Coturnix japonica: one gene and its partner. The protein of the gene in region 1 purifies or fractionates together with the protein of each later gene. This does not show direct contact. Links are inferred from orthologs where the notes say so. Each region holds a gene or a part of one and is shown on either strand. Other genes may lie near its edges.

Region 1 (4,441 bases):
TGATCCATAGCCGCCCCATAGCCGCCCCATAGCCGCCCCATAGCTGCCCATGGCTGCCCCATAGCTGACCCATAGCTGACCCATAGCTGCCCCATAGCTGACCCATAGCTGCCCCATAGCTGACCCATAGCCGCCCCATAGCCGCCCCATAGCTGCCCCACAGCTGACCCATAGCTGACCCATAGCTGACCCATAGCTGACCCATAGCTGACCCATAGCTGACCCATAGCTGACCCATAGCTGCCCCATAGCCGCCCCACACTGAGCCGTCCCCATTCCCCGCTGCTCTCAGGGCTCCGATCGCAGTAAGGACGATCCCCAGTGGCTGCGGGATCTTTACCTGCCCCTGAATGAGCTGCAGAAGGATTCGATCCAGCAGCTGTACCGGGAACCGGGGGACGAGGAGGAGGAGGATGAAGAGCTGCTCAATGGGGCCGGGCCAAAACGGGACGGGACGGCGGCCACAGCCGACCCCAAAGGCAGCAAAGGGGCTCCGTGATCCCACAGCCCCGATGGATCCACCCCATAGAGCCCCGGAATGGAGGGAGGGGCCATGGGGATCAGTGGGGGGGGATGTGCTGAGTTATGGGGTGGATGGAGCCGCTGGGTTTGATATTAAAGGATATTGGTGTTCTATGGGGTGTGTGTGATATGGGGGGATCTGTAAGGGGGTCTATAGGGTGTGCTATAGGGTGTGCTATGGGGTGTTCTATAGGGTGTGCTATGGGGTGTGCTATGGGGTGTGCTATAATAATAATATAGGGTGTGTGTTCTATAGGGTGTTCTATAGGGTGTAGCTACTAATTGGGTGTGCTATGGGGTGTTCTATGGGGTGTTCTATGGGGTGTTCTATGGGGTGCTCTATAGGGTGTGCTATAGGGTGTTCTATGGGGTGGTCTATGGGGTGTGCTATGGGGTGGTCTTTGGGGTGGTCTATAGGGTGTGCAATAGGGTGTGCTATAGGGTGTTCTATAGGGTTTTCTATAGGGTGTTCTATGGGGTGTGCTATAGGGTGATCTGTAGGGTGTTCTATGGGGTGCTCTATGGGGTGCTCTATAAGGTGTTCTGTTTATGTTGGGTGGGTCTCTATGGGTGTCTAAGCGGTGTTTCTATGGGTCGCGTCTATGGGTGATTAAGTGGGTTGCTATGGGGTGATTGATTCTATGGGGTGATTCTATGGGGTGATTCTATGGGGTGATTCTATGGGGTGAGTCTATGGGGTGTGCTATGGGGTGGTCTATAGGGTGTTCTGTTCTATGGGGTGTGCTATAGGGTGTTCTATGGGGTGGTCTATGGGGTGGTTTAATAGTTGGGGTGTGGCTATGTGTGTTCTCACTTATATGGGATTTCTATGGGTGTTCTATAGGGTATTCTATAGGGTATTCTATCTTAGGGGTGGTCTATATGGTGCTCTCTATGGTGTCCATGTGTCCATACACACTCAGCTCTATTTACACCCATCTCTCACCCACGTGCCCTTTTCCCGCCCAGAGCGCGCCAATTCTCTCTCAAGTTCCCGGCCCACTCTATGTTGGGAGTGGCCTCTCTTAGCATCGCCCCCTTTGCGTGATGACGTCACGAGGAGGCGGGGCTTACAGCCGCTACTTCCGGGTTTCCCGGCCGGGTCGTGGAGGCGGTGAGAGGGGGTGGTGGGGATGGGTAATGGGTAATGTGGATTGGGCGATGTGGATGGGATGGTGCATGGGTTGGGAAATTGGGGGCGATGTGGGCTGGGGATATGTTGGGTTTGCTGATGGGGTCCGGTGGGTGCTGGGCCGCAGTGGGGCTGCTATAGGCCCTATGGACCCATTAGTCACTATGGGGCTGCTATAGGCTCCTGGAGGCATTCTAGTCTGGTTTCTATGGGGGCTGCTTCTGGGTCTTCCTTGGATTCCCTATAACCAGAGTTGACATGGTTACACTTGGTCCTGGTGTTGGGTGTAGGTATGTGCCCATAAGGGAGAACTCGTCCCATAACAGGGCAGGACTAGCCATAAGGGCGGACTCGGCCATAACAGGTCGGACTGCTGGGCCATTAACAGGGAGGATCGGCATAATCAGGGGAGGTGACGCTCCTGCAGCACTTTGACACCTTTTGCATCAGCTGCTGGAAGGGGCTGGGATCGGAGCTGCTGCCCCACAGCTGTGGGGTGTTGTGGGATCTGTGGGGCAGGCTGAGCTCTCCTCCATCCCATCCCATATCCCATCATATCCGATCATCCCATATTATCCCATCCCAGTGCCCATCATCCAATATGGCCTTGTGGTGCTGCGATACACATCGGGCGTCGGTTTCGGAGTACCTCCGAGTCCTTTCGGGAGTGCAGAGATCCCATAGCCGGTTTGCCTACATGGTGTTCCTGTTTTTTCACGAGTAGCCATATGCGACAGGAATGTCCAGTGGTGTTTTTTTTCTTTCCTTATAATTTTACATTCATATAAAGGCATACTTGCTGTTGAAACTGGCGAGCCGGTTTATCTCTAGCTGAAGGGCCTGGTTCATGAAATTACACCTCTACGGTGGTGGGGGCCGGGGGGCTTCAAAGAGCTGACGAGTCAGTGACGAGCCCCTTCGCATTTACGGAGGAGGTATTACAACGAAAGCGGTGTTAACAGTTCGCCTGCCAGTTAATGGAGGGGGGGTCACATATGGCGGTGCAAGAGTAAGGATATAGCTTATATCACTTATTAGAAGCGTCACAGAGGTTAAACTGAGTTGAGCAGAATTTAACACACGACAAACAACACAAAAGATACGCACTGGTTACAATCCGCCAGGGGGACCGAATTGTAATGTCGGCCAGAATCTACTCTCACGCGCTATATCAGACTATCTGCGAAATGGTCTGAATCCCCCAGTAAACTTTGTGCGAGTCAGCAATGGAAAAACTTCCATTGATTCCGGCTTTTACGCCACCAGGAGCTTCTTGGCTGGGCTGGAGTCCTAGATAAATAAACATCTATATGAGACTCTCGAACATTCTCCTTCTCTTCTCGAGGCCCACAGATCGCCTCAAGGCCTCCTGGGGATCAGGCATTTTATCAAAAGGCGAGGTCCACAGAATAAACACTGGTGATAAGGTGGGGCAGTGAATTATAACACACGTGTCCCTTCGCCTGGAAAGTTAAAGGGGAGCCTCGCTCGAAATGGAGGCATGGAATTTTGTCCCTCTCGGCCTCCAATAAGGGCACGCACCAGTGTCTCCATCTGCTGCAGGATAGGAAATGGAGGATGGGGAGCTTGACTGGTAACCAAGGAATCTACAGCACGCACTCCTCATGGGCTGGGCACACACTCTACGACTTTCTCCGGCACCTAGGGTAAGATTGGAATATAGGAAAAGGGGAAAAGAAACACACGAACGCTAAAGTCCTTTTATTGGTAGATAAAGCCGAAGGGTTTGTCTGTTGTCCTTTCTCAAATAGAAACAGCCTTCCTGCTCTTAAAAGAAATTATGAAGCTTCTAAAATGGTTGGGGCATTCTAAATTTTCCAACTGGCATTAACAGGCTTGTGGAATCGCTTTGCGCATCTCCTAAAAGAGAATAAAAACAACAAGGGAAACCAATACCAAGGTTAAGGGTCTAGGGAAGCAGAAGATGGAGCCATCGATTACAACCACTACAGCTACATGGAATGTTATGTAGAGGCAGTTGTGTATCTTTACAATTTCTTGCAATGTTTGCGATCGCAGTCAGCAGAAATAATCAGATGAGCTGTACGCTACAATGTGTGCGCTCCATTGGTTGGGTTGCTGGACTGAATAGTCCCTGAAGAAATCACTGGGGGCGCATGCGGGCACAGGCGAAGGCAAGTGAGGAGAGTGCCCTGGGGGCAGAAGCGGCTGATGGTGGCGTATGACGTCAGGGTGTTCGTGTCCAGGCCTCAGCCTCGCTGCGTACTCTGGGGAAGGGCCCCTACATTACAGATGAATGTGTTCGTGGCCATGTGCAGCTGAAGGCAAAAGCCCTTTCTTAATACCGCAGTGACGAGTGTTGTGGGGGACGCTTCTGAGACTTTTCAGGTGGTTGTGCCATTAGTTTTACAGAACTGGCCAGCGGAAGGTCGTGCTAATGATTGGAAAAGTTACCGAGCAAGGATCACCTGGTCATACATGGATCCAACATCACTCACCAGCCCAAGACCAGGGTCCCTCGACGAAGCGTGTGTGAAGACCATTGTGCAAATGCCGTTGCTGGCTGGGTGTGTGGAGGGGCAGCGCTGATGGCATAAGGCTTTCTCTAGGAGCCTGGAGGCAGCAGCAGCTCCAACAGAGCTGGAGAGCTGTCGCTAGCAGGGACAAGTGTCAGCTATTGCAGAGGAATGCGGGACAGATGCCAAAGAATGCGGACAGATCTATCACAAGTACACGGTTGGCTGAGAAGAGGGTCAGCAAAGACTCTTCTTAGAAACGAGCAAGCACGGAGTTTCCAAAGGAATA
Region 2 (2,499 bases), on another chromosome or scaffold:
TCTCCTGGTCAAACTACTATTTCTCAAGATGCCTAGCATCTATATTGGTATTTCTTATCCTTAGCAGAATGTACATCTTCAAAAATGATATATTGAATTTCTAGTTTCAAGACTAACTTCAGAAATGTTCTTAAAGTGTTGTAAAAAGCATATCACATAGAAGCTTATAGCCTGAAAGTTCAGTCTAAATCGCAATACAAATTTAAACAAAATTTGATGGGATCTGCTTTGATTCATGATTCTGACAATCTTTGAGGATATGCATGTTGACTAATTAAAGTTGCTTTCCATTCCACATACCTCAATACAGGAAATAAAATAATCAAACATGAGTAAAGAAGAAGAAAGTAAGTCTGGGTTTACTACAATCAAAAGGTTCAGATTAGACTCCATTCCCAAATAAGAGTTCATAAGCAAGCTTTGCACAAGAGACTACAATTTATACAGCAATTATCAAGGGAGAGTATTACACGTTTCTATGAATAGCAGCAAACAGTGGATCCTCTAAAAATAAAAAATAGCCTCTTTTTCTTCCAGAAAAGCATCCTACCTGAGGGAAGTATTGGAGACAGGCATGATTCACAGATATTTTCCTCTGGAAAAAAAAAAAAGAGAGAGAAAAAAAAAAACTGAAGTAAAAACTAAAACAGGCATTTACACATTGCAATTACAGAAATGGATCCTACAGTATTTACTTGAGATACTCACCACAGACCATGGGAAATTAGAGAGAAACTCTAAAGCAGCATTTCTGTTAACAGCAGGAAAAATGTACAGATTCTCTGACTTTGGTGCAGGAAGAACTGCAGGAGCTAGACCAATATCAGAGCAGTAGACACATAAGGCAAACTCAAATAAAAAAGGAAGCATAAGATGGGTTCCTGACTTCTCTGCTGTATTTTTCCAGCAGAAGCTCTGATCTTCTGTCTTTCTATCAGCTCCTGGTATTAACCTGTGCAAATCACAGAACTCCTCATGCACGTCAGTAGAGCCTCACAAAATATTTTCAACCATTTTTAAAAACTATCTTGTTGCAGAATACTTGACTATCTGTTTTGGCACCAAAAAGCATTTTCCATCTTTACAGACAAATTGCAGGATGCAATATGTAATATATTGAGCAAACACAAAGCTACATGATGAATCTTGTCTCTACAAATAAGATCTACAGTCTACAAAAGAAAAAGTAATACTCAGGTTTTCCAGCAGCTTTCTAAATGGACTGTGACATGGCTTAGGTTTATAACCACAGAAAAGACTTCGAGTCACCACATTTCCCCTGTACCCACCATCTACCAGAACACCCTTCATTTGAGTTCGATGCATTTTCTTTAGCAAAGAAAGAGAGTCAGCAACAAGAATCTTCTTGCAGCCTTCCCGCAGCAAGATCTGTTATGCAAAGAACACAAAGTACAGAAAATGTTAAACAGGTAACACTTTCCTTGATTTTTTGGTTTGTTCTCACTCCTGCTACCTGAAATGTAAAGCAGAACAACATGCATTGGATGGGAAAAATGATAGGAGTTTACACATGATTGATGAAAGACAGGCTGGGCATAATAGGAGAAAACATTCCCACACAGTCAAACATTTTACTATTGCTGAAGAGTACGGGAACTTCCCCAGGTTCAGAACTGATTTTTTTCTTGTTCCTCCAGTGAAGAAGATGCTCTTGTACAGGAGCTCCAGTTAAATACCGTTCGCTTCCAGAAAAAAATTAAAAAAAGATTTTATTCCAACTGAATCCTAACTTTCAGCAGAAAAAAAACCATCTTGTAGTTTTCAGAATTTAAAAGGACTGTTGGACAAAATAAAGGCAATATAGCTGGTGGTTGCTCTTATCTATGTAAATACAAGATCAGTTTGTAAAGTCACACTGACAACAACTTTTCAGTTACAAAGAGCTATGTTTTGATTCTGTGTTTTTGGAAGCACTTTTAAATGCAAGCAGTAGAGCTGGAAATCACTAAGCTTTTCTCAGGATATCAATACGACTTAGGCCAATTTGGTTAGCTGGCCATAGTTTGAATGATAATTAGTTACACTGAAAATGCTGACTGGAGAAAGGTGATTTATTTGCTGTTAAATAGAAAATGCGCTAGAAACATGCCACATCAATAAACTACAGGTTCCTTTTTAAGACAGCCTATATTCAAGAGTTTACAAAGCCAAACTAAGCAGCTTGTGGTCTATTTCATCTATAAATTTATGGCACTGAAGAATTAGATTTTGGGAGTTAGAAATAAAAAAAATAAGTTAGACCACACTTGATAAACACTGTTAAAATGCAAACAATTCTAACTTTATCTTTACTGTCCACGTAATCATAACTTTGTTGATGAACGTTACTATACATAAACACTAAAATTGCTATTACAGCTCTGTTATGGTATTAATCTATTAACTTCAATAATGACTAGCAGAAAATTATCAAAATGTTTCTCAGGAAGGGAAGAAAAACAAAAAAAGGCAATAACCACTTGCAGTTTTAACCCAATT

The links. The genes of interacting proteins can lie anywhere in the genome.
Region 2: the proteins of PLEKHM1 (region 1) and VPS41 purify together in Homo sapiens (affinity purification with western blotting; 4 studies listed by BioGRID and IntAct, with this or other methods). This does not show direct contact. The link is inferred for Coturnix japonica from reciprocal best matches to the Homo sapiens genes PLEKHM1 and VPS41.

What each region holds. Positions count from the first base shown.
Region 1 is NC_029542.1:1,138,076-1,142,516, reverse strand, and holds the start of PLEKHM1 (pleckstrin homology domain-containing family M member 1), read left to right. Parts: upstream 1-1,554; 5' UTR 1,555-1,636; intron 1,637-4,441. Other genes in the region: leucine-rich repeat-containing protein 37A-like, read left to right, coding at 293-499. UniProt on the Homo sapiens protein: Acts as a multivalent adapter protein that regulates Rab7-dependent and HOPS complex-dependent fusion events in the endolysosomal system and couples autophagic and the endocytic trafficking pathways.
Region 2 is NC_029517.1:77,293,892-77,296,390, reverse strand, and holds part of VPS41 (vacuolar protein sorting-associated protein 41 homolog), read right to left. Parts: intron 1,390-2,499; coding exon 1,290-1,389; intron 596-1,289; coding exon 551-595; intron 1-550. UniProt on the Homo sapiens protein: Plays a role in vesicle-mediated protein trafficking to lysosomal compartments including the endocytic membrane transport and autophagic pathways. Acts as a component of the HOPS endosomal tethering complex.